4 linked regions of the Pelodiscus sinensis genome follow. The protein of the gene in region 1 binds, or shares a complex with, the protein of each later gene. Links are inferred from orthologs where the notes say so. Each region holds a gene or a part of one and is shown on either strand. Other genes may lie near its edges. The genes, in order: GABARAP, WDFY3, TP53INP2 and CALR.

Evidence for each region.
Region 2: the proteins of GABARAP (region 1) and WDFY3 are in contact, whole or in part, in a crystal structure (PDB 3WIM), measured with the Homo sapiens proteins. The link is inferred for Pelodiscus sinensis from reciprocal best matches to the Homo sapiens genes GABARAP and WDFY3. Residues at the interface, in NP_009209.1 of Homo sapiens: Glu17, Ile21, Lys24, Tyr25, Arg28, Pro30, Lys46, Lys48, Tyr49, Leu50, Val51, Pro52, Asp54, Leu55, Leu63, Lys66, Arg67, Phe104; in NP_055806.2 of Homo sapiens: Glu3342, Lys3343, Asp3344, Gly3345, Phe3346, Ile3347, Phe3348, Val3349, Asn3350, Tyr3351, Ser3352.
Region 3: the proteins of GABARAP (region 1) and TP53INP2 are in contact, whole or in part, in a crystal structure (PDB 8T31), measured with the Homo sapiens proteins. The link is inferred for Pelodiscus sinensis from reciprocal best matches to the Homo sapiens genes GABARAP and TP53INP2. Residues at the interface, in NP_009209.1 of Homo sapiens: Tyr5, Glu17, Ile21, Tyr25, Arg28, Pro30, Val31, Ile32, Lys46, Lys48, Tyr49, Leu50, Val51, Pro52, Asp54, Leu55, Gln59, Leu63, Arg67, Phe104; in NP_001316358.1 of Homo sapiens: Glu31, Val32, Asp33, Gly34, Trp35, Leu36, Ile37, Ile38, Asp39, Leu40, Pro41.
Region 4: the proteins of GABARAP (region 1) and CALR are in contact, whole or in part, in a crystal structure (PDB 3DOW), measured with the Homo sapiens proteins. The link is inferred for Pelodiscus sinensis from reciprocal best matches to the Homo sapiens genes GABARAP and CALR. Residues at the interface, in NP_009209.1 of Homo sapiens: Glu17, Ile21, Tyr25, Arg28, Pro30, Val31, Ile32, Lys48, Tyr49, Leu50, Val51, Pro52, Leu55, Phe60, Leu63, Ile64, Arg67, Phe104; in NP_004334.1 of Homo sapiens: Asp199, Trp200, Asp201, Phe202, Leu203, Pro204, Pro205.

Annotation. Positions count from the first base shown.
Region 1 is NC_134734.1:9,615,061-9,621,667, reverse strand, and holds GABARAP (gamma-aminobutyric acid receptor-associated protein), read left to right. Parts: upstream 1-4,172; 5' UTR 4,173-4,366; coding exon 4,367-4,456; intron 4,457-4,854; coding exon 4,855-4,933; intron 4,934-5,336; coding exon 5,337-5,455; intron 5,456-5,671; coding exon 5,672-5,737; 3' UTR 5,738-6,090; downstream 6,091-6,607. UniProt on the Homo sapiens protein: Ubiquitin-like modifier that plays a role in intracellular transport of GABA(A) receptors and its interaction with the cytoskeleton.
Region 2 is NC_134715.1:13,065,572-13,073,322, reverse strand, and holds the start of WDFY3 (WD repeat and FYVE domain-containing protein 3), read left to right. Parts: upstream 1-4,742; 5' UTR 4,743-4,865; intron 4,866-5,240; exon of another isoform or gene 5,241-5,427; intron 5,428-5,648; exon of another isoform or gene 5,649-6,035; intron 6,036-7,751. UniProt on the Homo sapiens protein: Required for selective macroautophagy (aggrephagy). Acts as an adapter protein by linking specific proteins destined for degradation to the core autophagic machinery members, such as the ATG5-ATG12-ATG16L E3-like ligase, SQSTM1 and LC3.
Region 3 is NC_134728.1:30,990,661-30,997,937, reverse strand, and holds the start of TP53INP2 (tumor protein p53-inducible nuclear protein 2), read left to right. Parts: upstream 1-4,275; 5' UTR 4,276-4,562; intron 4,563-7,277. UniProt on the Homo sapiens protein: Dual regulator of transcription and autophagy. Positively regulates autophagy and is required for autophagosome formation and processing.
Region 4 is NC_134729.1:13,045,272-13,052,177, reverse strand, and holds the start of CALR (calreticulin), read left to right. Parts: upstream 1-3,902; 5' UTR 3,903-3,992; coding exon 3,993-4,080; intron 4,081-5,104; coding exon 5,105-5,206; intron 5,207-5,756; coding exon 5,757-5,960; intron 5,961-6,641; coding exon 6,642-6,736; intron 6,737-6,859; coding exon 6,860-6,906. UniProt on the Homo sapiens protein: Calcium-binding chaperone that promotes folding, oligomeric assembly and quality control in the endoplasmic reticulum (ER) via the calreticulin/calnexin cycle.

The sequences.
Region 1 (6,607 bases):
TCCCTCTCTGTGTCCTGGGCTGAACAGGAGCCTGCCTTTCACTGGCTCCCTTTTGAGTTTAGCAACCTGAAGCCATCTGATTGTTTTGGTCCACTCCCTAGGGGTGGGTCTTTGCTCTGGGATCTGTTCCCCAGGGGTGACCTTCTCTGTTTTTCTCAGACTCTGGGGGAAATGAAAACCCAGGAGACAAATTATAGCCGCTAAGCAAGGCCAGAAATGGAGCCGTGTTCAGAGAGTTCTTACAGGGGGGAGGGTTCATCGCCCCCCCCCCCCCAAACCAGTTACACTTGTTCAACAGTTGGACTTTAGTGATGGAAGTCCTGGGTCCTGCCCCAGCTTTGGGTGGGGAGTGGGATCCAGTGTTTGGGGGTGGGGTGTTAGAACCCATGCATTCTGACTTCCTTCCCCAGCTCTTGGAGGAGAATGGGGGCTGGTGAGTTAGAGCAGGAGGTCTGGGGGCCAGGACTCCTTTTGTCTTCCTGGCTCTTTGAAGGGAGTGGGAAATAGCAGTTAGAGCAAGGGGAAACGAGGCTGGGATCCAGGAGTTCTCTTCCCGTTTCTAGCGGACTGTGGTGGAAGAATTTGGGGTGAGAGGAAGCTGCAGCCAAAGGGGTGAGGATGGCTAGATTCAGTGCCCATTTTTGCTCACAAGTGGCAGGGCTTGGATCTGTACCTCAGTTTCCCTCACTGATCTGTCAGGGCTTGCAGGGCCTCTGGGCCTGCTACAGTTTGGTGACGATAGGAAGCAGGAGAGCCCTGTGAGAGGGCCATCTGGGTGCTGGATGGGGTGTGTGGAGATGGGTGAAGTGTTTGAGGAGCAGCTGAGATCACTGTAAGCCCCACCTGTGGCAGGATAGAACCTTTACAGGTCCCAATTCTACATGGGATGGGACCTCTGTACTCCTCTCCCTATGTTGTGGGTCTGAAGAAATGCCCCTTCTCATCCAGAGGTGGGCATAGATGCCTCCTGTAGTCAGCAAGCAGAAGAGGCTGACCCTGTGCTGCAGGGTGGGGACTTAGCAGATGATGCTTTTCCTTGGCAGGTAGGACTGACCCCAGAGCGTAGTAGGGGGGGTAAGGATGTTAAGTATCGAGTAAATGACTATAATTTGTATCAACTACTTGATTAGTTGATAGGGGGTTGCTGTGGCTCTGCAGTTTAAATGTAGTAGGAGCCAGGTATGCAGGCAGCTTGGCTCCTACTACATTTAAACTGCAGAGATACAGTGGGAGCGGGTCTGGGACCTGTGCTGTGCCTCTGCCTTTTAAATGTTGGAAGAGCCAGGTGGCTCTTCCTACATTTAAAAGGCAGAGCTGCAGTGCTGGTGCCTCTGCCTCCCCCATTCCCTCTCTTCTTCCCCCCTGCCCCCCAAGCCCTGGATCTGCCGGGAATGGGTTTTTAAGCTGGCTCCTCCCCCCCTACACCCATTGCTTTGCTGCCTCTGATATGGAGGTAGCAAGGGGGAGGAATGTGAGTAGTGAATTCTGACTATCCAATAAACCTAGGCCAGTGTTGATTTTAAAGTGTGCTGCAGCCCAGCATCACAGATGATCTCTTCCCCCCCCCCCCCACACACACACACAGGTGCTCCCTGCATGGACCTAACGAATCACGTGTACAGCTGCACAGCTTAGAGCCGTGGTCCCCAACCTGGTGCCTGCGGGCGCCATGGCGCCCGCCGGGCTCTTTACATGCACCCGCGGAGCAATCTGGGCTGGCAGGTGCCAGCCCCAGGCGCATGGCTGGTCCCGGCCCCGGGTGCACCGCGCATGCCCTAGCCCTGGCCTTGGCCCCGCCCCCGGGGGCACCACGCGTGCCCTGGCCCCGGCGCTGGCGCCAGCCCCGGCCTTAGCCCCATGGTGCTTACGGGGGGAGCGCCGGCCCCGGGCGCATGGCGCTTACGGGGGGGGGGGGGGCGCCAGCCCCGGGCGCGCGGGGCTTGCCGGGGTGTGCCGGCCCCGATCACGTGGCTATGGGGGAGGCCCCGCCCCCGGGCATGCGGCTGGGGGGGCTGCCCCCAGGCGGGCAAGTGTCCCCGCCCCCTGGCGCCCAGCGGGTGAACGGCCACACCCCCTGGCACCCAACAACCTGAAAAGGTTGGGGACCACTGGCTTAGAGAACACTGGCCTTGGCTTATGAGAGAGTTGACTATTCTTTTACATGCCTAGTAGGGGGTGGCATGGAGGGATGCTGTGGGGCAGGGCATATCCCCTTTTTTAGTTGAAGTATAAAATGGCAAGAGTAAAAAGGCCATGTAACACTCATATCTGCCAGCAAAGGGGGAACCTGTTTTGCTTTCAGGTATTTCCTGCAGTCCCCTGCCACAGCAGGCTGCATTATGGGACTGTCTCTTCTTTGCTGTGTGGGCAGCTGTGTACTATTTGTTGATGTTAACTATAGTGAGCTGTGTAACTACAGCTTGGTGTGGAGAAAGGTGTCCCTGTGTAACCAGTTGCCCTGCTGGGTGAGGGGTCCCTGTATAACCAGCCACCCCACCCTGGAACTGCCCATCTCTCTGTGCCATGTGAGGGGTCCCTATATAACTGCAGCCACACCCCAGAGGTGGTCATGTAGTGCTGGGTGAGAGGCCCTTGTGTGACTGGCCACCCTACTGCAGAAGTGGCTGCATCTGTGTCAGTTTCAAGCCAAGCCAGCCCTGCTGCAGGGGCATCCTGCTGGTGACTTACCTCAGTGCAGTCTGAAGGTAGCTGGGTTTGTCCTGGGGCTGTGGGACACCAATAAAGGGAATCTGGCCTGTGGGGGAGGGGCTGGTGCTTTGGCCCCTTGGTCACTGTAGTAAGCCCTGGGGAAGGAGGGGCTCCCGGGAGAGCCTCTCCTCTCAAGTTGGCAGCATTTTCCTTTCCTCCCTGCCAACTCCATGCATTGGCCATGAGCAGCAGGGCTCTGAATGGTTAACTGGAGGGGGGCAGCAGCTGCGACGCCTCCATTTAAGAAGTTCACGGATTAAACAAAATTTTAGATCCCTACGAAGCTGCCCCCATTGGCTGCAGGGGCCCATCCCCAGGTGCCAGACTTAAGGGGAGCAGGATACTCCGCTCTGGCCACTGCACCCTTCCCCCTGCCAGGGCATCCTGGCTCCCAGCCCTTCCCCCAATGGTTTTACCCGCTTCCCCGAGCGCTAACCCTGTGGTATGGTCCACAATCTCTGGCACCTCCCCCTTTATTGCTATGCTCCCTCCTGATTGGTCACGGCCACTCTGCGTCGCGTTTGTCCGCTATTGGTCTTGGTCTCTCTGGGCCACGCCTTTGTCACGTGGCAGTGTCGCCTATCAACCCCTGCAAACCAGGGGTTTCCCGTGATCACGTGGCAATGCCCTCTGCGTTGTACGTCACGTGAAACTGCCCCCGCCCCCCCCCGATCCTTCTGCCATCCTTCCCTGCGGGGCCCCCTACGCGAGGCCTGACTCTCTCCTCCCCCCCCCGTGGCCACACCCTCCTCGGGGCGCTGCCTCCCCGCACTATTTTGTTTTGGTGTCGCACTGCCACGCAGGTGGCGTAGCTCTGTGAATCCTGGGTTTGCGTAGCTGCCCGGGGAGGAGTGCGTTTCCGAAATGGGTCGACTGAGAAGGCCTCTTATTGGCATGGGGGAGTTACGTAAACCTCGCAGCGTCGCTCCCTGCCGAGGAAGTGATACGCCACGAGCGTGGGAGTACGCAAGTGGAGTTCATGATACGCAAACAGTATAAAGCGGGAAGCCGTAGCTTCAGCAGTTAACGTACGCAGCTGCCGCGGGAAGCAGCGAGGTGATTCCACCGTTACGCTATTTGCTTAGTGTTTCTTGGCGGGTGTAGCTGGAGTCGGCTGCGTTAGTGGCGAAGCATAATAGACGCTTGTTTCGTGGCGCTGGAGGGGCCACACGAGTTACGTGCTCCAGCGGAGCAACTAATCAGCGGGGCGCAGAGCGAAGGCCATTAGCCAATAGAGCACGGGTCGGTTACCTCAGAGGCGCAGGGAGCTGACGTAGGGCGGGCGGTGGTTACGCTAGTTGCGCGAGCAAATGGCACAGGGTTGGGTACACAAGGCAGGGGCACTTACGCAGGCGGCGTACGGAGGGTGATGATACACTTTTGATAAGTAGGACTGCCCTGTTGGCACAGGGAGTTACGCTGCTTGCGTTCGGAGCCAATGTAGCATGGGAAATGGTTACGCAGCCAGAGCAGGGCGGACGGAGGATTCGCTGGTGTCGCAGGGAGTTAACCTAGCTCGTCGCTGTTTACGCTACTGGCGCCTGCTCAGTGCGCAGAGGTTATGCGGGTGGCGTAGTAAGAGGACGTAGGACGGTCGCTGGTTACGCAGCCCGCGCAGGGCGGGCGGGGGTTACGCTGGTGACGCAGCCGGCCCGCCATGAAGTTCCTGTACAAGGAGGAGCAGCCCTTCGAGCGCCGCCGCTGCGAGGGCGAGAAAATCCGCAAGAAATACCCGGACCGCGTCCCGGTGAGACAGCTGAGGCCTCCCCAACGCCGCCGGGAAGACCCTGGCCCCCACCGGCCGCGCCCGGCCAAGCTCTGCCCCTCCCTGGCGTGTGAAGCTTGGTCCGGCCGGACCCACCGTGCGCGGGGGGGGTACTTCGCTCCCCTCTTACTGGGTGAGGGGTACCCCAGCTGCTACCATCCACAGACACTGGGGGGCCCTTTAGCCCCCCGCCTCTTCCCACAGCCCAGCCTTGACATGGCTCTTGAGCTGGTTCCTCGCTGGACCCCAATGGGTGGCTGACCAGGCTCCATCCCAGTTCTCCTTTGGGGAGCTATACGCCCCCTGAGGTGTGCTCCGAGCCCCCCAAATGCTGGGGGGGCCGGCTGACCCATGGCATTTCCTCCCCCCTCTTTCCCCAGGTGATTGTGGAGAAAGCCCCCAAAGCCCGAATAGGAGACCTGGATAAGAAGAAATACCTGGTGCCGTCAGACCTCACTGGTGAGTGCTGTCCCCAGGGTGTGCCATGCTGAGGATGGGGGCAGCAGCCGCCGTGGGCTGCATGGGCAGTGCAGGGGGAGGTGTTGGAGGAGTTATCTGTGGGAGCTGTTGGGGGGAGGCAATATACCCTTAAAGGGGACAGGTGGGGATTTCTGGAGTGTGGGGGGAGGGGATTCTGGAAGGCCCCCTCAAGCCTAGAAGTAGGGCTAGATAAACTGGGGGGTGCCCCATACAGGGAATGCCCCGCTCTCTGTAGTCCCCCCACATAATATGGGGAGGCAGCATCTGACAACTGCAGGGTCTTGGATGGGGAAAGGGGGGGAGTGGAGCAAATGAACTGTGGATTTGCATAAAGGAGGAATTTCCCTCTCCCATCCTGACCCCCCTCTTTCTTCTCCCTCAGTCGGACAGTTCTACTTCCTCATCCGGAAGCGAATCCACTTACGGGCTGAGGACGCCTTGTTCTTCTTTGTCAACAACGTCATCCCACCCACCAGTGCCACCATGGGCCAGCTGTACCAGGTGGGGCGTGAGGGGGCGCTGTGGGACAGAGCAGTGTGGGGACTCAGCAGGGGGTGCTTTCCTTTGACAGGCAGGGTTGGCCTCAGGGTGGCGCTAGAGGCTAGTGTGGGGTAGGGGTGCAGCAAAGGGTGTTTTCCCTGGTAGTATTTGGTGCTATCCTGTTACCCCCTGTTGGCTCTCCCTGGTACTGACATCTTCCTTTCTTTCCTTTCCCAGGAACACCATGAGGAAGATTTCTTCCTGTACATCGCTTACAGTGACGAGAGCGTCTATGGCATGTGAGGCGCCATCCTCCCTGGCTACCGGGGTGCCCTCCTCCCCAATTGGACCTGCACTTTCTCTTATTGGTTGATCTCTATAAGAACCTTTTTTTTTTTTCTGACACCCCCAACTGCCTAATTACAGCCCTCCATGTAACTGCCCCTCCCCACTCTGTCTGGGTTTCCGTGGTTAATCTCCTGCTCTGATTTGTGGCCATGAAGGGTTTTTCTAACATCCCCCCTGCATTCTTCAAATTGCTGACCTCTCATCCCCAGCAGGGCCTGACCTGTCACCAGGGGGTTCTGTCTGGCAAGTCTCTTAACATGGTGTGTAGAGAGGTCTGGGGCATAATAAAATGAGAAGGGAAACCCTGATTGTGGTATGGATTTTTATTTCTGTAGTGGGGTGTGAGGCGAGTGGAGGGGTTGGCCAGGGCAATCCCTTTGTGGTGGATCAAGGGTGTTTGCTGTATGATGGCTGACCACAGGGTGCTTGTAAGATGGATGGGGAGGAAGTACAGATAAAGCACATGGGGGTTCAGGACCCCTTCCTAAGGACAGCTAAGGGGGCAGGAATAGATCCCTCTGGGAAGGATCAGAGTAGTGTTTTCTATAAACTCTGCACTGGTGCCATGCAGGAGAGATTCAAATGCCACCGAAGTGGTTAGCAGACCTAGCTAAGCTAGGTTTTGTATTTTTACCTCTTGGTGTACATAAATATATTACCAGGGCTTGCCGCTGCTTGGCGAGCCCCTGCTCACCAGCCCCCCAGAAGCACACACTACGCCTACACAGACCGTGCTGCTCCTGTGCTGAACGTGCTTTGTGGCTCCACCGGACTAAAATCTACTCACCACAGGTGAGTAGATTGCCTAATTTGTCGAGCCCTGTA
Region 2 (7,751 bases), on another chromosome or scaffold:
GGCAGACTGGGGCTTCTGACCCCAGCTCCTGGAAAAGGGTTGGTTGAAGGCAAGAGCTTCTTGGATGCCCACTGCCCAAGGGCTCCCTCTGGAGAAAAGAGTAGCTTATGCTGAAGTCAATGTCAGCTTCTGAGACCAGTAAGGGCCCTCAGGAAGCAGCAACCCCACCATGGCAAGGGAACACTGATCACCTCTCCCAGAGCCGCTGATCTGTAGCATGCCCAGAGGGCTCTTACGACCACAGCAGCATGGCAGAATGCTTGGATGTGTCAGACCAAAGGCCCTGTCCTGGTCTGTAAGGGCATGCTAGGAGAAGACCATGTTAACAGTGCCTCTGTGCTTCCTGCTTATCTCTGGACTGCGGCACCTGGCCATTTCCCTTCCATAGAATCCTAGGGCTGGAAGAGACCTCGGGAGGTCATCGAGTCCAGCCCCCTGCCCAAAGCAGGACCAACCCCAACTCAATCGTGCCAGCCAGGGCTTTTTCAAGCCAGGACGTAAAAACCTCTAGGGATGGAGATTCTACACACACTTCCCTTTCTGGGGATGGCAGGATATTTTCTCTTGCACTGGCTCCCTGCTGTGGGGAGTGTGGGCGTAGCAGAGGGGCACAGGATGGGTCTACAGAAAATGCAAATGACAAAAGGAGACAAGTTCTTTTTGATGGATTTTATTGTGTGTTTCTAAATGGCCCAAAGGGCTGGCCCTTGCTCAATGCCCCAGAGGAAGGCAAAAAACCTCCAGAGTCATTGGCCAATTTGCCCTGGAGGAAAATTCCTTCCCGACCCCAAATATGGCGATCAGTTTCACCCTGTGCATACGAGCAAGGACCTACTAGTCACTATGGTTACAAACCTTGTCCTACTCCACTCTGTGTCCAAGTATTAGCCAGTCTCCAGTGCTTTCCTCTTGTCTGATGAAGCTCAATTCTGCATGCATCCTAGCAGATGGAAACAGCTGTTCCTCTTGGCCCAATAGGTACCCCATGCAACTTTTGAGCATGGCTTCTTGAACAATGTCCACACTGGCTATGTTTCCTTCATCTGAAAGTACAACCAAAGCCCCTGAATTGCACTCAGAAATGATAAGCAGGTTCTTCACCTTCTAATAAAGATGAATCCCCTTGTGTCAGCTATCATTCTTGGCTCCTCTTGGACCCTGAGACTATGTGGACTACACTGCAACACTATTTCAGGATACCAAAGTATCCCAAAATATCTATCTCATGTCTTCACAGCAAGCCCATTATTTTGGGCTCACTGTTCCGACATCCCTGTAAACCTCATTCTATGAGGAGTAAGGGATGTTTTGGAACAGCACTTTATTTTGAAATTTGGTACTGTGTAGACAGTGCCAAATGACAAAATAAGCTATGTTGAAATGGTATTGAAATAAGATATGCAATTTGCGCAGCTCAAATTGCATATATTATTTCAAGTTATAGTGCAGTGTTAATGCACCCTGAGATGTAACAAATCCTCTGACTCAATGTAAGTTAGCAATTTTGTGGAGCTGACTATGTTGCATTTACCAAATTCTTCTCTTACATCTCATCAGAGCCAATTTTGTTGCTCTATTGAATGAAGTAGCTGTGATTTGATATCTTAAGAGAGCCAATTATCCTGCCAGGTGATAGGAATGGCCTTGAACAGATCCATACATTTATACTCGAAAATCCTGAGCATTTATAAAGCGTATCTCCTGAAATGGCAAACCAGCTTCACAAATTAGTTCCTTAAAAGGGATCAAAGTTTGACAGGTAATTTGGTTGCTCATCAGTTTTACATGCCCATAAATGTTCCCAAAGGGAATGGATCATAAAGTATCTTGTACAACAGAACCACAAATGCTCACTTTCTTGTCAATGACCATCTGCTGAATTGTTTGGATTGAAAAATGATGGTGACTGCCTTCATTGTCTGCCCATTTTAGTCATGAAAGCCAACTTTTCTTTGTTCTCTGCAGGTTTGGCCATGTCTTCCTTTATGCCTAATAATGTAACTGCATATACCTTTCAATCACTGTGAGATCAGATCAGCTGCATTTCTGTTACCTGAAAAGGAAACCCAAATCCATAAACTCCTTTACCATTGTTATGAGATGAGTTGCTTACCTCTGGGCTTCAGTGAAAGATCTTTTAGGAACTTCCTGAAGTTTTCTCACCTTTATTGTTAGTAGGAACTGCACTGCCCTAATCAGAAAGTATGAGAGGATCATTTCCACTTGACTGTTAAAAAAAAATACATTTGGGGAGATTTTCTTACCAATTGATATGCCTGGTTCAGTTCATTCCAACTGCATTCTGAAACAGTGAGAAAAATGCATACCTTCTGGGTGAAGAGCTGCTGTATTGGTTTATTTTTTCTCTCCATACAACCAGTTTATTGTTTAAAATCAAGTAGTTATAAATAACACTTTCCTTATAGTTGACTAGAACAAGTAGAGAATTCTCTAACCTTTCAACAGCTTTGGTTCTGTACATTGCTTTAGTTTTACAAAACTTGCTAGCAGCCTTTGACAGCAGAGGATAGATTCACTTCCTTCACCTGAAAGTACAGTCAGTTTAGTTAGTTTCCACTCCATTGCTACCAGGATGTGAATCACTTACCTCTTGAAAGGAACAGTCAGCTTCTCGTCTTACTTCTTAATTGGAACAATGTGAGCTTCTGACAGAGGAGCTGCAAGGATCAAATCAGCAGAATAGGTAACTGCAATGTCATCTTTTGAAATCCGATGCCACCTCTCAGCTATGGCCACTTGCACCCTTTCCTCTTTGGATAGTACAAATGCCTGTGTTATTAAGCCCAGTCATGACAACTGGCATTTTTGCCACCCTCAGATTTCACAGTAGCTACATTTTCCCCACCTGAAAGTATGAGAGGAGCCATCCATTTCCATTTCAATGTTAAAAACGGGTCGTTTTTGTTTTATTTTGTTTTTCTTACCAATTGATAGGCCTGGTCCAGCTCATTCCTATTGCATCAGTCCCTTCTAGAACACAATGGTCCTCTCATCTCCTTCCATCCAGACATATGCGATCTGCGGTAACAATCAATGTGTGCCAGATTGATCAATTTATTCACTCTGCAAATGTTCCTTTAGCACCAGATTCACCTGAGAATCAAGGAAACCCAAATGCTCACCTCTGTCTGTGATGTGCTGCTGACTTGCTTCACATTCAAATTTGCAACTAGCCAAACCATTCAAAGTGACTGACCCTCTGTTCCTAGATTCCAATTCCAAGGTGCTGTTATTTCGTCAAGTGATTGGCAGCTGGCAAGTCTATCCATACTGCTTTAAGTCTGAGTCTGCTTTATACACTCTCCCCTTGACAAGTAAGGTCAAAATCAATTTTTCTGCCTAAAAGTAAAATCAACACTGTTTGATGTGCACATGGCTATCTGGAGTCAGACCTTCCTTACCTCTTGCCAAAGACAGCCACTTTCCCGCACTTCTTCCTGGTAGGAATGGCCACCTAGTCTGTTCATATCTCGATTTAGGAAAGCCTGCAATCATCAACATTTGAGAGAATTTTATTATTATTACTCAGTACCTCCTATGTAGAGTCTTTGATGGAGATGGTTCCTTAGCAACCAGATCATTAGGATTCTAGTGACTTTTCAATGCTCACCCACTTGTCATGGTGTTTTGCCGCATGGCTTTGATTCTTACAAGTATAGCCAGCTACATGGGTTAAAACTTGAAGAACAAAATTGTCTGCTTTTCTTTTTCTGATCTAGAAGGAAAAGTTGCTTTTCTACCCTCTGGGCAGGCATAGTAACTTGTCTGACTTTATCCTTAAATTCAGCAGCCTCTAACCTTCCTGCCTGGAACAGCAAGACCTTCATTTCACCTGAAAATAGAAATGGAGCCTTTTATTTCTGGCCCTGGGCCATGAGGCGGTGCATTCCTTACCTCTTGATAGTAATGATCAGTTCCACTTCTCTTTACTTGACCTTTCATAAGTAAGCAACAATGATCAATCCTGCAGAATTGGAGTGGACCAACTTATCTCTGAAAATGTAAGAGAAAGTTAACATTGATTTTCATGCTGTGATTTCACTTTTTCTTTGAAATAACATCACTGTTACCACCTTGCAAGAACAACCAACAGCATTATCGGAAGGAAAAATGAGGCAATATGATCTCTAGTTATAATTAACATCTGCTGTCCTTACAGCTGGATAGGTAGCCCCCAGGTATTTTTGTTTTATTCAGTACAGCCACTTTTTGTGCTCTTTAGAGAGATGTAGATTTCATCAGTTACTGGGTTTTTTTTTCTTCCTCAAAATATGACCAGCGCCATTAACTGTTATGGGAAGGTGTGTTGTATTTCTTACCTCCTGAAAATAATGGATTAGCTAGATCAGGTAAACTTCTTGTAAACTGCAGTCACCTGTCATCCATGACCCGCTGAAAAGACCTATTTGTCAGGCAACAAATGTAAATTATGTGTCATTAGATTAATGTTGTTACATTGAGTAAAATGCATACCTTCTGGGTGAAGAGCTGCTGTATTGGTTTATTTTTTCTCTCCATACAACCAATTTATTGTTTAAAAATCAAGTAGTTATAAATAACACTTTCCTTATCGTTGACTAGAACAAGTAGAGAATTCTCTAACCTTTCAGCAGCTTTCCTTTGCTTTAGTTTTACAAAAGTTGCTAGCAACCTTTAACAGCAGAGGATAGATTCACTTCCTTCACCTGAAAGTACAGTCAGTTTAGTTCATTTCCACTCCATTGCAATGAGGACGTGAATCACTTACCTCTTGAAAGGAACAGTCAGCTTCTCATCTTACTTCTTAATTGGTACTATCTGAGCTTCTGACGGTGGAGCTGCAAGGATCAAATCAGCAGAAACAGGTAACTGCAATGTCATCTTTTGAAATCCGATGCCACCTCTCAGCTATGGCCACTTGCACCCTTTCCTCTTTGGATAGTACAAATTGCCTGTGTTATTAAGCCCTAGTCGTTACAGCTGGCTGTGTTGCTTATATTTTGGCAAAGGCAATTAGATTCTACCTAATGCTAAAGACATCAGCCAAGGATCTCACTCCTATCTACTTCTTCGGTGTGTCTCCTCCTTTCTCTTCTACTGTATCCTCTTCCCCCATTCTTATATCTCCCTCTTGTCTCTCCTCCTTTCTCCTCTCTCTCCCTTCCACAGTTCCCTGATGTTTCTATCTGCTTAACTTCAATTTCCCCTCTCCACCCTTATAGATACCTCACTCTACCTACCAGCCTTGTCCCTGCCTTTCCTTCCTCCTCACCAGAACTCTGTCCTTTGTCCTTCTGTGTCTCGCCTTCCATTTTGTAGGAAGTCGGTGGGTCCCAGAAGATGCTATTTCTTTGCCCTGGTCCCTGTCCTGAGACCTAGACATTAGCCATGTGCTCTGGATGATGTCCTAGTGTGAAATGCTGCAGCCCTTGGTGACTGACCCAATAATCACTGCATCACAGCTGAGCTGTGGTCATTGTCACCCCCTCCTCATTTGGGCAGTGTGAGCAAAATGACCAGCGCCAAGTCCCCGCCAAGGGAGCTAGTGGGGAAAAGGGCTCTGTCTGGCTCTGCAAACCATTGAATGAGTCACCACGCTTCAGTCAGCAGTTGGGCTGTTTGTTCCAGGGTCTTGTCTGGTTTCTTACCTGTGATTTGGATGGGGTGAGAGGCAGCCCTCACCTGTGAACGCTGACATCAGGAATCCCTCCACCGCTTGTCTCGGTCTCTGTTTGTCTAGGGTGCTGCCCTTACGGCGGAATGTTCCACTTCCCTCACAATTGGCCTATTCTGAGCAGGGCTGAGTTCCAGCATCTTGCTCAGAAACCAGTGGGAGCTGAGAATGCCCAGCCCCTCTCAGCACTAACCGCGTCGGCTGGATCTCACGGCTTTGTGCCCGTCAGCGCTATGTGGAACCCTCCCTCTTACGAGATAGGCTGATCACTGCAGAATGTGCCACCAGCCAGGGGTTTCAGGGTTTGCTGTAGATGGGTGGATACCAGAACCATGACACTACCCTTCCCTGGTTGCTGGGAGTTTGATTAAATGACACGTGCTGTTGGATGCATGTGGGAGTTGTATTGGTGCAGCTCTGGGCAGGGAGCCAGCTCAGCAGATCAAACTGCCTAAAAGGCTTCTTTAGATGGGCAAAAGTGCCCTGGCCAGGTTTATTGCTGACAAAGCATAGTACTAGTACCCTCCAGGCCCTGTAGGGACATGAATACTTGTATACCTATGCCAATGGACCTGCTCAGTCAGCAGCAGGACTCTCCACTGCCCCCCCAGACAAAGACGTACCTTCTGAGACCCCTCCTTCATACACTGAGACAAACAAGTTACATATTACCCCATGCTTTGTACCTGTTGGTTCAAACAAAACATCTCCAACTTTTACCCTGCTGTCTTGAACTTCTCTCTAGGAGGAGTCCGTGTGTCCCTTTCCCCTTTTCAGGGCGTGTATGTTTATATCATAGCTTTGTATCAGCATATTCTTGTGGTACCCTCCTGGGATGTGTATAGTGACTAGCTAGAGCCTAGTTCTACTTGAGAAAGCCTGTGTTTTCGTAAAACCAGCCATATTCTTGCCAAGTTTGCACACGGAGCAGTGAAGTTGTAAGCAGGCATCTGCTTTGTAGCAGGGCCTGACTCATGTTGTGGTTTTTTGATTCTAGCCCCATGTTACAGGCTCTGACCTAGTGCTGTTGCCCTCCCTGAGCCACAGTTTGAAGTAACTGTGATTAGTGAATCATGTGCTGCGAAACCTCTGGCATTCTTTACCTTTGTTCTTTGTTGGCTTCCTTAAACTAAAACGGATCATTCTGGCAAACTCTCTCTCTCGTCTTTGTGCTTTGAAAACATAACCCAGTGCACTGTGCAGACACAGAGCAGACACTGTGGTGGCTCAGAGCCTGGGTATGTGCAAGGAAGTGTTTCTGTAACAGTGTCTGTTCCCCTCACACCTTCTCCCTGTTTCTTTTGGTGTTACTGTGGCATTGCATGCACCTTCTGGAGTAAGGATGGGGATGTTAACGTACTTGCTTTTCATCAGCTCTTTTCACCACAGTGTGTCACTTACGGAGGGTTTGTTGCTTCAGGGCTACTCCGCCTGACTGTCCTACTCTAGCCTAGCTATCCAGTTGCCCTGAAAGCTAAGAAAAACACAAAACAACTGTTTGGTTTGGCGTTGGACTCTCTGGCTGTGCAGATTTAACCTTCTGTGTGCCTTGCTTCCCTTAGGCAGCAAAAGAGAGAGGAAAAAAGTCCCAAAAATTCCAAACAGCAAAACAGAAAAAAAAGATCCCGAGGTCTGTGTTCCTGGTTCAGAATGATCACACCACTCTGCCACCATGTCAGGGCTGTTCCTCACTCTGGCACTCCAAGAGCAGAAAGTAGGGGCCCACAAAAGACCTTAAAAATACCTTGCCTCTCTAGGCTTCTGCTTGAAAGCTCCCCAAGGCCACCAATTCCCTGGCCTTGGGAGGTAGCTGCCCACCACCAAATGAAACAAGAGATCCCTTTCTTCTTGAAACCAAGAAGGAAGCACTTGGACTTCTTCCCGAGGGGTATCCCCAAGCTCTTTTACCACAAGAAAGCTTGGGGAAAAAGAGAAAACAAAACTGCAGTCTCTGGTAGCTGACTTCTCAGTCTTAGACTTGCATACACAAACACTGGCCTTCCATTTCCTTCTAGCACACAAGAATCAAATTATTGCTTTAAAAAGGTGATTTTATTATCAAAAAAGATATACTTGA
Region 3 (7,277 bases), on another chromosome or scaffold:
CCATTTCTAGAGCTGCTTCAGTTGGTGGTAAGGAGCAGAGCTCTGGGGTTGATGCGGTCCCGGGCTGAATTTTGCTGCCCATGATTTCGGACATGGTGGCCAAGCTGAACTGTCTGTAGCATCCAGGCATGAATCCAGTTGCCTGGTCAATGGCGTCAAGTACTGCAACACTGATGCCACCCAGCCGAGAGACTGCATGCAGGCTGCATGAATCTGAACTCAGTGCCTCTGCTGAGGCCAGCTTTGGAAGCCACCGTACACTGGGGTTGTGTCTAGACTGGCAAGTTTTTCCACAAAAGCATCTACTTTTGCGAAAAAAACTTGCGAGCTGTCTACACTGGCCGCTTGAATTTCCGCAAGAACACTGATGATCTCATGTAAGAAATCAGTACTTCTTGCGGAAATACTATGCTGCTCCCAGTCGGGTAAAAGTCCTTTTGTGCAAAAGGGCCAGTGTAGACAGCTCAGATTTGTTTTGCGCAAAAAAAGCCCCGATCGCGAAAATGGTGATCGGGGCTTTTTTGTACAAAAGCGCATCTAGTTTGGCCCGGACGCTTTTCCGCAAAAAGTGCTTTTGCGGAAAAGCGTCCGTGCCAATCTAGACGCTCTTTTCCGCAAATGCTTTTAACAGAAAACTTTTCCGTTAAAAGCATTTGCGGAAAATCATGCCAGTCTAGACGTAGCCAGAGTGTGCAGTGCTGATGTTCTTCTACAGCAGCATGAGCTATTATGCTCTGCTCTCTCTTGTGTTAGGGGCTCTGTCCTCACTAAAGATGTGAGGCTCTGTTGAAGGTAATGATGCAAGAGTAAGACAAACATCAGTGTCATCCGATGATACCTATAGTCCTACCTGTTTCTTTTTTGCAGCCATCATTGTTTGTTGTACCAGGGTGTTATCAGCTTCCTCATGCCAGATGAGCACATCTCCTCTGTTGATCACACCTCCCTGGCTTATTTCAGCTAGGGGTGTTGTCTCTGCCTGTGATGAGTAGCTTGTGGTTTAGTGTGTCATTGCTGCAACTTCTTGTCTTGAACATGATGTACCAATTATGTGTCAACAGGTTCTTATTTTCAAGACAAGACAGGGGGAATTGTATTGTGCTCTGCTTGCTTCTTTAGTTCTGCTAGATCTTTGACGCTCTTTGCTGTGAAGTCTTTGGACCTGTCAAAGACAAGATCTCCATCACTTGCTACTAACTCATGTATGTCAACTCAGAAATTGGTCACAAAGTCCTTGAAACCATTTATTGGCCAGAGTACTATCCCAAGAACTGCAGAACTGACAGATGTGCAAGTGAATCCTTGTCAGTTGCAGCTGCTTCTTTAGGCCAGGCCTAGCTTTGGCAGTTCTCATGTCACCAAAGTCACTGCACACAGAGGAGCCAACTCACACTGATGAAATATTCTTGATATCAACCTGTCATGAACTTGCTTGTAGGCTTCCGAGGGAGGATCCTTGCTTAAATAAAGTTAGTGTCCAATACCTGAGGTGGGCTAACCTATGCATGGTTTTTTTTGTCAACACCAGCATCTCGCGTAGCCTTAGCATTGTGTCATAGAACCCTGTAGGGAAGCTAAGTTCAAAATCTTGCATTTAGCAAATTCAAACTGCAAGAACATCTACAGACAGTGATATCACCAACCACTACCAATGTTAACTATTGTGTCTGGGTGCTTAGTGGTGTTTCAGGGATCAATGCACAGCTCTAGCTTGTTAATAATGGTCTCTATTCTATCAGCAGTAATCCTTGACTTCATTTCCTCTTTTGAGGATCGCTTGTATTTATTCCCCACTGGTGTCATTTATGTTTTCAGTGTCTTCCACCTGACAGCTACCAGGGCTCTTGATAGTTCTTGATAGTTTCTGGTTTCACAAAAGTGGTTTCAACATACATGTCACTCGACTTGCCATCTTATATTTCTCAGCATGGTGCAAGATATGCTGCAAGCTCTTCCTGCATAGAACCATGAAAGTGTAGAGCTGGAGGAAACCTCAAAAAGTCATCAAATCCAGCTCCCCTGTGCTGAGACTGTCCAGGTTTACCTGGCCCTACCTCTGTCAGGTGTTTGCTAACCTTTTTCTTGAGAATCTCCTCTTCTGGGGATTCCATAACCGGCCTTGGAAGCCTATTCCAGAGTTTAGTTGGAAAGCTTTCCCTAATATCTAACAAATCTCCTTTGCTGCAGATCAAGCTCATTAGTTTGTTCACCGAACATAGGACATGGAGAACCATTGACTCCTGTCCTCTTTATAACAGCCCTTAATGTCTTCGTTTCTCAACACTGAACATGCCTCCTTTTTTAAACCTTTCTTCAGATATCAGGTTTGTTAATCTGTCTGTTATTTTTGTTGCTTTTCTCTGGTCTCTCTCCAGACTGTCCACATCTTTCTCAAAGTGTGGTGCCCAGAAGTGGGCACAGTACTCCAGCTGAGGTCTCACCCGTGCAGAACAGAGCAGGACAGTTATCTCTACAGTCTTGCATACAACACTCCTCTGACTACACCCCAGAATGATATTAGCCTTTTTTGCAGTTTCATCACATCATTGACTCGCGGTCAGTTTGGGATCATGAAACATTTTAAGACAAACACAGGATTTGGAAAGACAAAAAATGTGCTTCACTATACACATGCACACACTTATAATACAGTGTAAACAGCCTTTCTAATCAAATTATTTTAGCAGATAAAACACATATCAAATGAAAAGTAAACAGTGCTTTTGCGGAAATTCAAGTGGCCAGTGTAGACAGCTGGCAAGTTTTTCCGGAAAAGCGGCTGATTTTCTGGAAAAACTGGCCAGTCTAGACACAGCCTTAAAGTCTCTAATTTACTATATATTTGAGAGAGTTTCTCTGTGGGCAAGCCTGTCTGTCAGTTTGTTCAAGAACTCCTCCTAAGCGGTATGAGCTAAAACCACCAAATTCGATATACAGAACTTACTGCAAGGTACGAGTTTAGGTGTAGGGGGGGGGAGGGAGCTGACACCTCTCTCCCAGGCATACAAGGATGCATAAAATCATACAGAAGAGACAATCACCGGGCAGTTGAAAGGGGATGACTGCCCCAGACACCACTTAGGAACAGTACTGGCTGTTCCCCTTTGTTAGGGAGTGAGGGTGCACAATTTGCTTCATTCCTCAATCTTGCTGGAGAACGCAGGAGACAGACAAACCTGGACTTGGCCCTCCCCTGCCTCTACCTGCTGAAGCTGCAGTGGCCATGGAAAGGCACTTCTCACCTAGCCCCAAGCTGCTGCAGTGAGAGAGGGCAGCACACCACTGCAATGATTTCAATGAAGAAAAACAAAAATTAATTGAGTTAAGGACCCCTGGTAAAAATCTTCTAGTTGTCCAATACTTGCATTAATGTGACAGTGCTAAAGAACCATATTCTGAGAGTACAAGACAAGTATGTCTTGCTTCTCAGTTGAGGGGAGCCAGGGAGAAAGGGCTAGTGCGCTAGCAAGAGATAAGATTAGAACAGGTGCTAAGAAAGACAGAAGTACCCTTCCCCCCAGTTGTGTCCTGTATCAAAATACTAGTGTGACATTTCCATTAAAAAGCAACTGAAATTCAATTAAAGTGGTTTCAGTGTCACCAATCTTGTAAGGAAAGAAGGGGAGGTGGGAAAGGTAGTGCTCATATTTCAAACGGCTGGACAGTCCCAAGATGGTATGAGGCAGTTGCTTCAAAATTCAACTATAACTAACTCTCCCTCCCTCTTCTCTCAAAGGTAGAGCCCAAACCGACTACAGTGTACAGTATTGGGATTACCGGGCTGAAAGGGGAAAGAAAGCAAAGGCCACCCAGCGAGCCCAAGGGCGGGTGCTGGTGAGATGGGCAGAAGGCGGGGGCTGAGCTGCCCTCTAGCCTGCTCGCAAGGGGGGCGAAGGAGCAGATTCCTGGGAAGCCTCCTGCCCACTGAAGATTTGGGGTGGGCGGGTGGATGCTGCTCCGCCCTAGACAGAGCAGGCGGCGGTGGCCCAGGCTCAGGTCCGCACCCAGCCCGAGCCGTACCTAGTGCCCGATTGCTGTCTGCAGCCCCCCACGGCCGCACCCTGGACTTCACACGGGTCCCGGAGCTCACATGGAGCAGCTCCGGCTCCTCCCCCATCCCTTCGCAGGCTGCATCCTTGAAGCCCAGCCCTCAACCTAGCCCTGCCTCCTATTGGCTCCTGGTCCGCCGGGTTACGCCCTCGGCGGGCGGCCCCCTTTGTGACGCCACAATCAGCTGTTTGGACGTTCTAATTTCTGATCTGGTCTGAGATCAGCAGCAATAACAGAAAATAAGAAGAACCCTGAAGCCCGTGGAGGGAGGGTCCGGCCGCAACAGCAGCCGCCTACAGCTTGCAATGGTGCATATCTTCTGAGAAGAACAGACACCACCACCACCACCACCTCCTGCATCTTTTTTTTAAATTTCCATTTATACTAGTGTTGTTGATTTCAATTAAAACTACCTCACAGACTGCCTAAAGCTGGTGCTTTACGATATTTAACACAATTTGTGGGTTTCTTGCGGTGTTGTTTACAAAATATTTGCTGACATTAAAGGCAAGGTAAGTGCCATGCTCTGTTCTGAAATGTGGCTGGCTAAATTCAAACTTGAGAACCATCTCTTTGTACTGCCGCCGGCAGTATGGTTGTTTTAATGGAGTATGTTGTTGATGTTTTCAGACTTCTCTCTCTGCACGGAGTGGTTTGGGTGCGTGTTACACCCTCACCCAGGGATTTTATTAAGATTTAAGGGTCATCTGTTTTCTGGTTAGTGGGCGATTGAAGGTCCCTTTGTATTTAGCTGAGTGCAGGCAGGGACATCTCTTTGTGTTTTAGTACGTTGTGTGCATTGTGCTTTGGTGTGGTGTTGGAAGGGAGAACACAGCTCATTAGCTTCTTGGGGAGACTATTAGCTATGAAGCTAGGTTGGTCTTTTGTTGTTTTTATATTATATATCAGCGACCAGGGTGAAAGAACAGGGTCGTTTTGGATCTGGAGAGAGGCTCTTACTTCAACCACACAAGTCTGCCTCTCTCGGCTTGCCAGATGGGGGCTGGCGGGAGGGGGGGGGCGGCAAAGAAGCATAATGTCGAGGTAGGTTTGGGAGAGCAAATGGCCCCGTTAATCCCACATCCTCCTAACTACCCAAGATGGTGATTTTGCTTGGGTTTGGTATTCAACCACAGACCTATGAGGTCACCAGAAATAATGCACTGGGACCGGGGATCCGGCTGGTATGCAGGAGAGGAGCCATTTGTCTCGACTCCCCTTTGCCAGAAGAAGTGGGGTGAGCATCCATACTGCACACGAAGGTGTGTGTGTGGCGGGGGGTGAGCAGAGAGCCCAGCTGGGTCAGAACAAGCGAATGGAAAGGGCCCATCCTCATTAACTGCAACTCGGGGGGCGATGCTGTGCTGCGGCGGCTGCTTTGGCTCGGGCCGTGTCCCCTGCTCAGACGATGCAAAGCGGCCTCGGTTCGGCTCGCAGCCCTTCCCGACAGGCCGTCCCGGTCACTGGGAAAAGCCAAGTTGGTGCCTGGTTTGTCTCCCGATGGATTTCCCATCCCCCCTTCTTTGCAGGGGGGGCGTTTCTCGCTGGCACGGACAAGAGCTGGATTGCCCCAGATCCGCGCAGGGTTTAGCGACTAAGCCGGCCTAGGGCCGGAGAGAGGCTGGCCCAGCCGGTGTTATCCGCGCAGCAGGACGGGGGGTTGCCCCGCACCGTCTCCCTGTCTATGGAGCGGGCCTGGGTGCCAAGCAAGCCGGTTCTCCCCCCCTCCCCCGCAGCAAAGCCCGGCTCCTGCCAGGGGGCGATTTCTCTCGTCCGCGCCGCCCAACCGGCTGGGGCCCCGCGGCTCAGCTGCAGCCCCCGCTCCCCGCGCGCTACTTGTTGTTCGCTTCTCCACCGACGGATTCCGATTCACGGCCGAGCTCTCGTCCCATTGGCTCCTCGGGATTGGGAGCCTATGGTGACGCGCTCGTGATTTGCATATGACATTGAAACGTCACCCAGGCACGCCAGCCCGCCTCCGGCCCGCGGAGCGGAGTTGTCCTCTGCTGACCCGCGCCGAGGGCTGCAGCGGGCGTGGGGGGCTGGGCGGCCGCGCATGCCCGGGCGGCTTTGAAGGCGAAACGCCCGTCTGGTGTTTGTCTTTGCCTTACCGGGCAAGGCCAGGGCAGGCTGCTGCACCGAGTGAGGCCGATAAATGGGGGAGGGGTCCTAATGCCTTTGCTTAGTGGTAGCCTCTCTGCTGGGCAGAACTTGGAGGCTGCTTCCCTGAGCTAGCTGATTATGTAGCTCATCGGAAGCGTATTTAATGGAGTACAGACGCATGCAGATTTGCAAGCCTAGCCTGTTCTCCCCCCCCCCCCCCACACACACAGTTAAGATGACGATGTTCAGTTATGCCGTAAGTACTTGAGAGATTTAGGGCTGGATAAGACTATTCTGCACTAAAATATCCTTTAATAATCTTAACACTATTGCAGAACCTGGATTTTCCTATTTACTTTTTCTAGTGAATGGAGCAAAGTTATGTCCCTGACCTTCTACAGTCTTCTACAGTCTGGATGATGCTCCATAAATATATCTAGTTAGGGAGGGGAAAATACTTTAAAAAAAACATTTACAGCTGCTCAGTTAAATCTGAAACTATTCAACTGTCTGATACAAAGCTGGTGTAATACATTATAAAGGTGTTTGCGATGGAAATACTAGCATCATGAAGTGCAAGGTACAGATGTATTTAAGCTGAATTCTCTATATCCCGTATTACTGAAGATTGACCAGATAGATTTTTAGCCGCCATTCAGCAAAGCACTGAAGTGTGTGCATAAAGTTCCATTAACTTCAGTGAGATTTCAGAATAGGCTTAAAAGCTCTGCTCTCCCTGGCCTCTGTTTCTCTGGAGGTGGGTGACAGGGGAAGGATCACATGAGAATTACCTGTTGTGATCCCTCCCTCTGAGGCATCTGGTATTGGCCACTGTCTGCAGACAGGATATTGGTCTGGATGGACTGTTGGTCTGACCCAATATGGCCGTTCTTATGACCCTAGGTGTCCTTCGTTTGAGGCCTTACTAGCACTGGCGTGTTGAAGTATATGCTACAACCCCCTACACAATGGAAGTTTACAGAAATGCAACAAAGCTCACTTCCCATCTGAAGAAGGGTTAGATATGCATTAGCCCTACTGCAGGCAAATTCCAGCAGCTGAACCTGTTTTTACCATGTGTTTTTCAGGTGGAGAGACATGTCAGAAGTCATTAGATCACTGTC
Region 4 (6,906 bases), on another chromosome or scaffold:
AGAGGCCGCTGTGCTGCTTTGCCGTTCCTCAGCACTGAGAGCTCATAGATCTACAAGGGAATCCCAAGAAGCGCGGGAATCAGCTTTGCTTTCCCACAACTCCGCCTGGTGGGATGCTCCCCCACAATGCTTTGCTCTGTCTGTTAGCAAGGTGCTAGCCAAGTGGCCATGAAATGGTGACAATGGGAGGCAGAAAAACTGGTTTTATCGGTTTTCACTTTCGTTGACTTTTCCACGTCGGCAGCACTTTTGTCGCCAAAATTTCCCAGTGTAGACAGAGCCTAACGTAGCACGATGTGAGTATGGAGAAAACATGGTTCCGTTTATCGAATGGAGGAACAAGTGAAAACAAATGGTGATCTCTAAAATCCAATCGCAGCATGCATCCTAGAGCCTGCACTTAACTAATGAGGTATTTTCCAGTCTCCTAGCACTGAGCTCACCCCAGAGCCTTTCTTCCAGTGCTTTACAGGCCCTCCAGTGCCTATGACCCTCCATTGAGAAGACACGCTGCCAGCAGCCTAGCTCCTCGGTGAAGGATAAGATCTTGTCCCCTCTTCTCTTCTGTTATGTAGCTACAGAATCAAGTTCCTTTCCCCAAAAGACCCTCCCTTTCATCTTTTCTCTTTGCAAGCCCTCACGCTTGACGCTGGCCAAGACAGCAAAGGTCTCTGGGAGCATCTACTGGTTTGTATGCTGATTGAATTGGCCCTGGGCCATGCAATATACACACTCCGGCTACGTCTAGACTGGTATGATTTTCCGCAAATGCTTTTAACGGAAAAGTTTTTTGTTAAAAGCATTTGCGGAAAAGAGTGTCTAGATTGGCACAGACGCTTTTCCACAAGCACTTTTTGCGGAAAAGCGTCCGTGCCAATCTAGACGCGCTTTTGCGCAAAAAAGCCCCGATCACCATTTTCGCCATCGGGGCTTTTTTGCTCAAAACAAATCTGAGCTGTCTACACTGGCCCTTTTGCGCAAAAGCTTTGCGCAAAAGGACTTTTGCCCGAACAGGAGCAGCATAGTATTTCCGCAAGAAGCACTGATTTCAGACAGTAGGAAGTCAGTGTTCTTACGGAAATTCAAGTGGTCAGTGTAGACAGCTGGTCAGTGTAGACAGCTGGCAGCTAGACACAGCCACCCTGACAGAAAGGGAAACATGGTTGTTCCTTCCTGCCTGGGGACTGCTTTATCTCACAGACCTTGAGACATGATTCCTTACATATCCACACATCCGCTTTGCAATCATCACAATGTCCAGTGTCTTGCTGGCTTTGGGTAGAGACTTCACAGGCCACCGTTTGGCATGCTATAATATAGATATTAGCCCCACAAGATCCCTCTAACTCTACACACGCCTCTGTCCTCTGCCAGCTGGTATCAAGGGGTCGCAAACCCCCTCTGCTACTGGAGGCCCTTTTGGTGTATGTGTGGTATATTATGCAATTGACAAAAGGAAGAACCCAGTGCGCAGAGCCAACAGCCAAAAACCTGGTGCATGGAGTGGCAGCAGGAACCCCAGGTACTAGGCCAGGAGCCTGGGGTGCTGTAGCACTCCTTATCCCCCTAGTTCCCATGCCTATGGCCAAAAGCCCCTTAGGGAAGCACCCTGGGATTTGGCCCAGTGATCACCCATCCAGCCTAGCTTCCAGGATCTGAACTGGACTCAACGGCTCTGTTCTGCACAGGCGGTCCTTTGGGGAAGTCGCACTCCCTTGGGAAAGTCACGGTCCTACCAGCTCAGAACACGATAGCTGCTGCTTATCTGGGATCTTCTTCTTCATGATGCTGTGGTTAAGGGAGAGATGAGGCACCGAGATTTGTAATAACGAGAAACCCAACAAGTCCGACCTCTTGGGCAGCCTATCCTTACAGACACTCAAACTAGTTCCCTCTTTCTTTTCCTCTGTAACTTATCTCTCTGGCACACCCTGCCCTGCCATCTCTCTTGGGCCTTGCTGCCAGCTAAACCGTTGGGGTTGCAAAAGAAAATCCGTTTGTGTGGCAGCCCCATGGGGCTGGGGAGCTCGTGTAATAGAAATCTTAGAGTTCAGTGGCACAACAGACCCCAAGAATGGGGTGAGATTGGACAGCCTGTCTGTTATGTAAATGATGCTAGGCAGACAATGATAAGAGGACAAGGACATCTGTGTTCAGGGAGGCCAAAGGTGATGGGCACTATAGAAAATCCACAGATAGTGTGGATGGGGTAAAGAGGGCTGCATGGTGGGGTGCATATGGGGATGGAGAGAGGGATGTGTGTGGATGGAGGGGTGAGTGCATGTGGGGACAGAGGAATTACCAGTGGGGTGTGTATGTTTTGGGATAGAGAGGGGGCATGTATGGAATGCGTGCATAGTGGGGTGTGTGAGGGATGGGTGAATGGGAGTTTGAGTATGGGGCTAGAAGATGTATGTGGGGATGGGTGGAGGGAGGGATGCGTATGGAGATTGAAGGAATTGGTGGTTGAATAGCGAGGTGCATATGGATTTGAGTGGAGAGATGCTATGTATGGGATGGATGGATAGTGGAGAGTGTAGCGGGGTAAGGGTATGGATGAGAATGGAAGGGTGTTTATGGGGATGGGTGGTTAGTGGGGTGCATGAAGGGATAGGTGGTTAGAACATGTAGGTGTGGATAGACAGATACTCTATTAAAACCGTATCTCAGAATCCTCTGATTGAGGGTCCTGAATTGGCCTGGGGCAGACCCCTGCTTACTGGCAGTCTGGGCACAGGTTAGCCAGGCACCTGGCTGGCCATCTGCTGGGTATGTGTAACGTCCCAGAGCTGTTTCCTGTTAGCTGGGGGTTTTGCCCCTGTTTTGAACAGTGTTGTTCTGAGCTCTTAAACAGACAGCTAGTTCCATCTGTGAGATGGCTGCTTTTTTGTGCCAGGCAAGGAATCCCTATACAAACAGCCCCCACAACCCACCTCAGAAACAGCTGCATCTCAGCATTGGGTGAGGGATCCCTGAATGAACAGCTGCTGTGCCCCACCCCAGAAGATGCTGCATGTTAGTAGTAGGGAGGATAGTAAATAAATAAGCCAGGGAAGCTGCACTTCAGAGATCTTTGTTCACACAGCTTGCAAATCGTGTGCACTGCTGCAGGAGGGGCTGTAGAAATGGGGAGGCTTTGGTATTAGAACTTCCTCCACAGTAGAACCTTTAGCTCTTTACCATGCACAGAGCCCTGGCACTGGCTATTTCTCTTCTTTAGGTTTCCTGGACAGACTTTACGAAGGCAAAGATGAAACATTTTGGGGCCTCTGCGAGAAGCCGTGCCTTTAGCTGGGGACTCACAAGCCTTCAGTGAAGGTAGGTTGGTCTCTTCACAGAGGGGAAAGTGGGGCCTAAGTGAGTTGACCGAAACCTCAGGAAAAGTCAGTGGCAGAGCAAAGACGTCCTGGCTCCCAGCTGCTGTCTCCTGGACCCCTCCCAAAGAGAGGCTCGCAGCCATGGACCCCCAGGTTAGCATGCATCACCGCCCTGTACCCAGGTCTCCTTCCTCCACTGGGGTTCTTTTATCACCTGCCCCGCTCGTGGTTATTATGGGCTGGGCTGGGCTAGGGTGACCCCCATTGACCAGGGGTGAGAACGAGCCTGATCAGCTGTGAGCTGGCCCTTTAAGAGCGCCCGAGAGATCACGTGACCTGACAGGCGGCGGCGACGCAGCCAGCGAGAGGAGGAGGCGTCTCCCCCCGAACGCGTGGTCGCTCTTCATTGGCCGAGCCCGACAACCAATTGCAAGCGGCCATCTGGGACGCCAACGTTCGGGGGCGCAGCCTCACTCGTCGCGCGGGGTGCCCGCCAATGGGAGCGCGCGCCGCGAGGGCACGGGCCAATGGGGAGCTGGCGGGGGCGGGGGCCGGGCCGGGCCGCCTATAAGAGCCGTCGCCGGCGGCGGCGCGCCCGCAGTGTCCGGTGCGCCGCTAGGTGGGGGCGTCTCGAGCTGTGCAGCTTCCCGGGTCGCGAGCGTGGGACCCAGCGCGATGAGCCCGCTGCTGGCGCTGTGCGGCCTGCTGGGCCTGGCGGCGGCGGGGCCCGCCCAGCTCTTCAGGGAGGAGTTCGGGGACGGAGGTGAGGGGGGGGGGTCACGGCCGGGGGGGGGCCCGGGGACACCGCCCCCCCCTTTGACTCCTGCACCCGAGACCCGGGCCTGGGCCTGCCCCCACCCGGCCTGTTGGCCTCCTCCGGGGGGTGCGGAGAGTCCTAGAGACACCCCCCCGCTGGGAGGGGCCCCCCCCACCCCTGCTCGAGCATCGCCCGCCTGCTCTGCACGGACCGGTCCGTGCTCGGGGGCACGTGGGGGGGGGGCAGAGCGGGGCCCGGGGGGGGCCCGGGCTCAGCCCCTCTGTGCCTGGAGGGGTGGCTGGAAGGAATCTGGCGGCGGTGCAAGCCTGCAGTTGTAGGTGAAGCCCCCCCCCCCCGCATTTCTCATGCCCAGCTGGAGCCGGTGTCATAATCTGTTTGGGAGGCCAAGAAGCCCCGAGGTGAGCCTGGCTTGCTCCTTTGCTTCTTGTCCCTACGGGAGCTTTGAGAGACTGGCCCAGCCACTGCAGAGGGATGTACCGGCACCCTCAGGGCGCGCTGATCCGAGGCACTAATCAGCAATATAAGCTGTTATACAGATGCTATGTTCCATGTTGGAGGAGGCTGCATTTCAGCAGCAGGTGACTCAGTTCCTGGGTATTGTCTTCTAGTCGGGAACAGCTAGTGCTCATGTGAGGAGGAATGCAAGATTCTGCTCTGCACTTGACCATGCCTGAGGCAGAAAACTTCCACTCGGCCTGCTGAATGAAGTAGGCATATTATTGCGAGGGGGTGTGTGGGCTAGTGGCTGGAGCCCTGGGAGTCAGAACTTTGCAGGGGTAGTGACTTCCTTTCTCCCTTGGTTCCCTGCCTGGTGAAAGAGACTTACTCCAGGCTGACTGGCTTACCCAACCAGTTTGAGAGCTCTTCTCTGGCCTGTGATGATGGAGCAAGGTAAGGTACAGGGCCTTCCTCAGTCAATGGCCAAGTGTGGGCTGGGTCTGTAGGTCACATTCCCACCTTCTGAGAGCTAGGGCCTGTTCAAACTGATGCCTGGGTCTCTTCCCCACAGATGCCTGGACAAGTCGCTGGGTGGAGTCAAAGCACAAGTCAGACTATGGGAAGTTCAAACTGACGGCAGGGAAGTTCTATGGGGATGCTGAGAAGGATAAAGGTGAGAAGTTGTGTGTGCGCGTGCGCGTGCTGCATTCTGCTATCCCTCCGGGGATGTACTGAGGAGATCGGGGCATCTTTTCTTAACTATCTTGCCCATTGGCTCCTCTGGCTGGTTCCTACTTGCCTCCAAGTCACCCAGCACTTCTATAAATACCTTAGCATCAAATCAGCCCAGTACATCCTTCTCATCCTACTCTGGCTGTAATGGGTTAGCTTTCTGGGTGCTGCTTGGATCGGGTGCTCTCTGGGACAGGACTGGCTTTCTGCACAGTGGAGCATGGGTCCATGACTGACAGAACCCCATAATGCACCTATGTATGTGGCTGGAGGAGGGATATCTCTTTGCTGCCTTGTGCCCTGTTAGCTTTATGTTAGTGGCATGGGGCTCTGTATGCAGGCACCATGCTGCAGAGTGCTGAGCATGAGCAAAGAGGCCTGTTGCCCAGATGTGCTGAGCTCTGAGGCCAGCTGAGCTGTGAGGCCAGCTATGTGAGGAATCCTGCTCCCCTTAGCTGGCAGCTCATGACTCTCTCCCCTCCCCTTGCCAGGCCTCCAGACAAGCCAGGATGCCCGTTTCTACGCCCTGTCCGCTCGCTTTGACCCCTTCAGCAACAAGGACAAGACCCTGGTGGTGCAGTTCACTGTGAAACATGAGCAGAACATTGACTGTGGTGGTGGCTATGTCAAGCTCTTTCCCTCAAGCCTGAGCCAGGAGGACATGCATGGGGACTCGGAGTACAACATCATGTTTGGTGAGTGGCTCTGCGTGGGACAGCTCCATAGCCTTTGCTGGCTGTGGATTACCCACATGGGCCTGGACTGAGGTTAGGGTCTCATGCAAAGCAGGGTGGGGCTTGCAGTGTGTGGATGGGAGCTCTCCCAAACCTTGGGAGTGGCTGGGGGTGCTTAGTGGCCCAGCATTGTGCTAGGAAGCTGCTGGATAACCCATGTCATATGGGGCCAGTGGTGTGGCTGGATGGCTTCAGCTGCCAAGGGGGTTCTTTGCTTCATGCCCTAAGAGGTCATGCATTGTTGCTCTGCTCCACCCCAGTGGTAGATGAAGGAACTTGAGACTTGCACCTGAAATACAAACTCTGTCCCGTAACTCCCTGGGATGGTTTCTCCTGAGAATCCTAGAGACCAGCCTGTCCTAGATGGCTCTGTTCCCCCAAACATTGCCCCTGTCTTTTCTGCTGAGTGGCCTGCCAGGTTGGGGGGAGGGGAGAGTCTAGTCTGAGCCCCATTCAACACCTACTCTCCCTGCTGAACCTGTCACTAGCTCCACACTGGGCCCTCTATTTGTGAGCTAGCACCTGGTCCTGCTGGGGCTGCATTTGCCAGCTCTCTGCACTGGAACAAAGTGACTTGTCATTTCAGGCCCTCCTGAGCCAGGCTGGTTTGCTCTGCTAAACTGTGGCTTGTTTCCGATCCAGGCCCTGACATCTGTGGTCCAGGGACCAAAAAAGTGCATGTGATCTTCAACTACAAAGGGAAGAACGTTCTGATCAACAAAGACATCCGCTGCAAAGTGAGTATCCTGGCATAGGGCTCCTGCCCTGCCACGGGGGCCTGGAGTGAGATCTCCTTGGCCTGGAGCGGAGAGCCTTCCTCCAGCCAGGTCCTCTGATCCCCGGCTCCTTCCCTTGCCCAGGACGATGAGTTCTCCCACCTCTACACCCTCATTGTGCGGCCTGACAA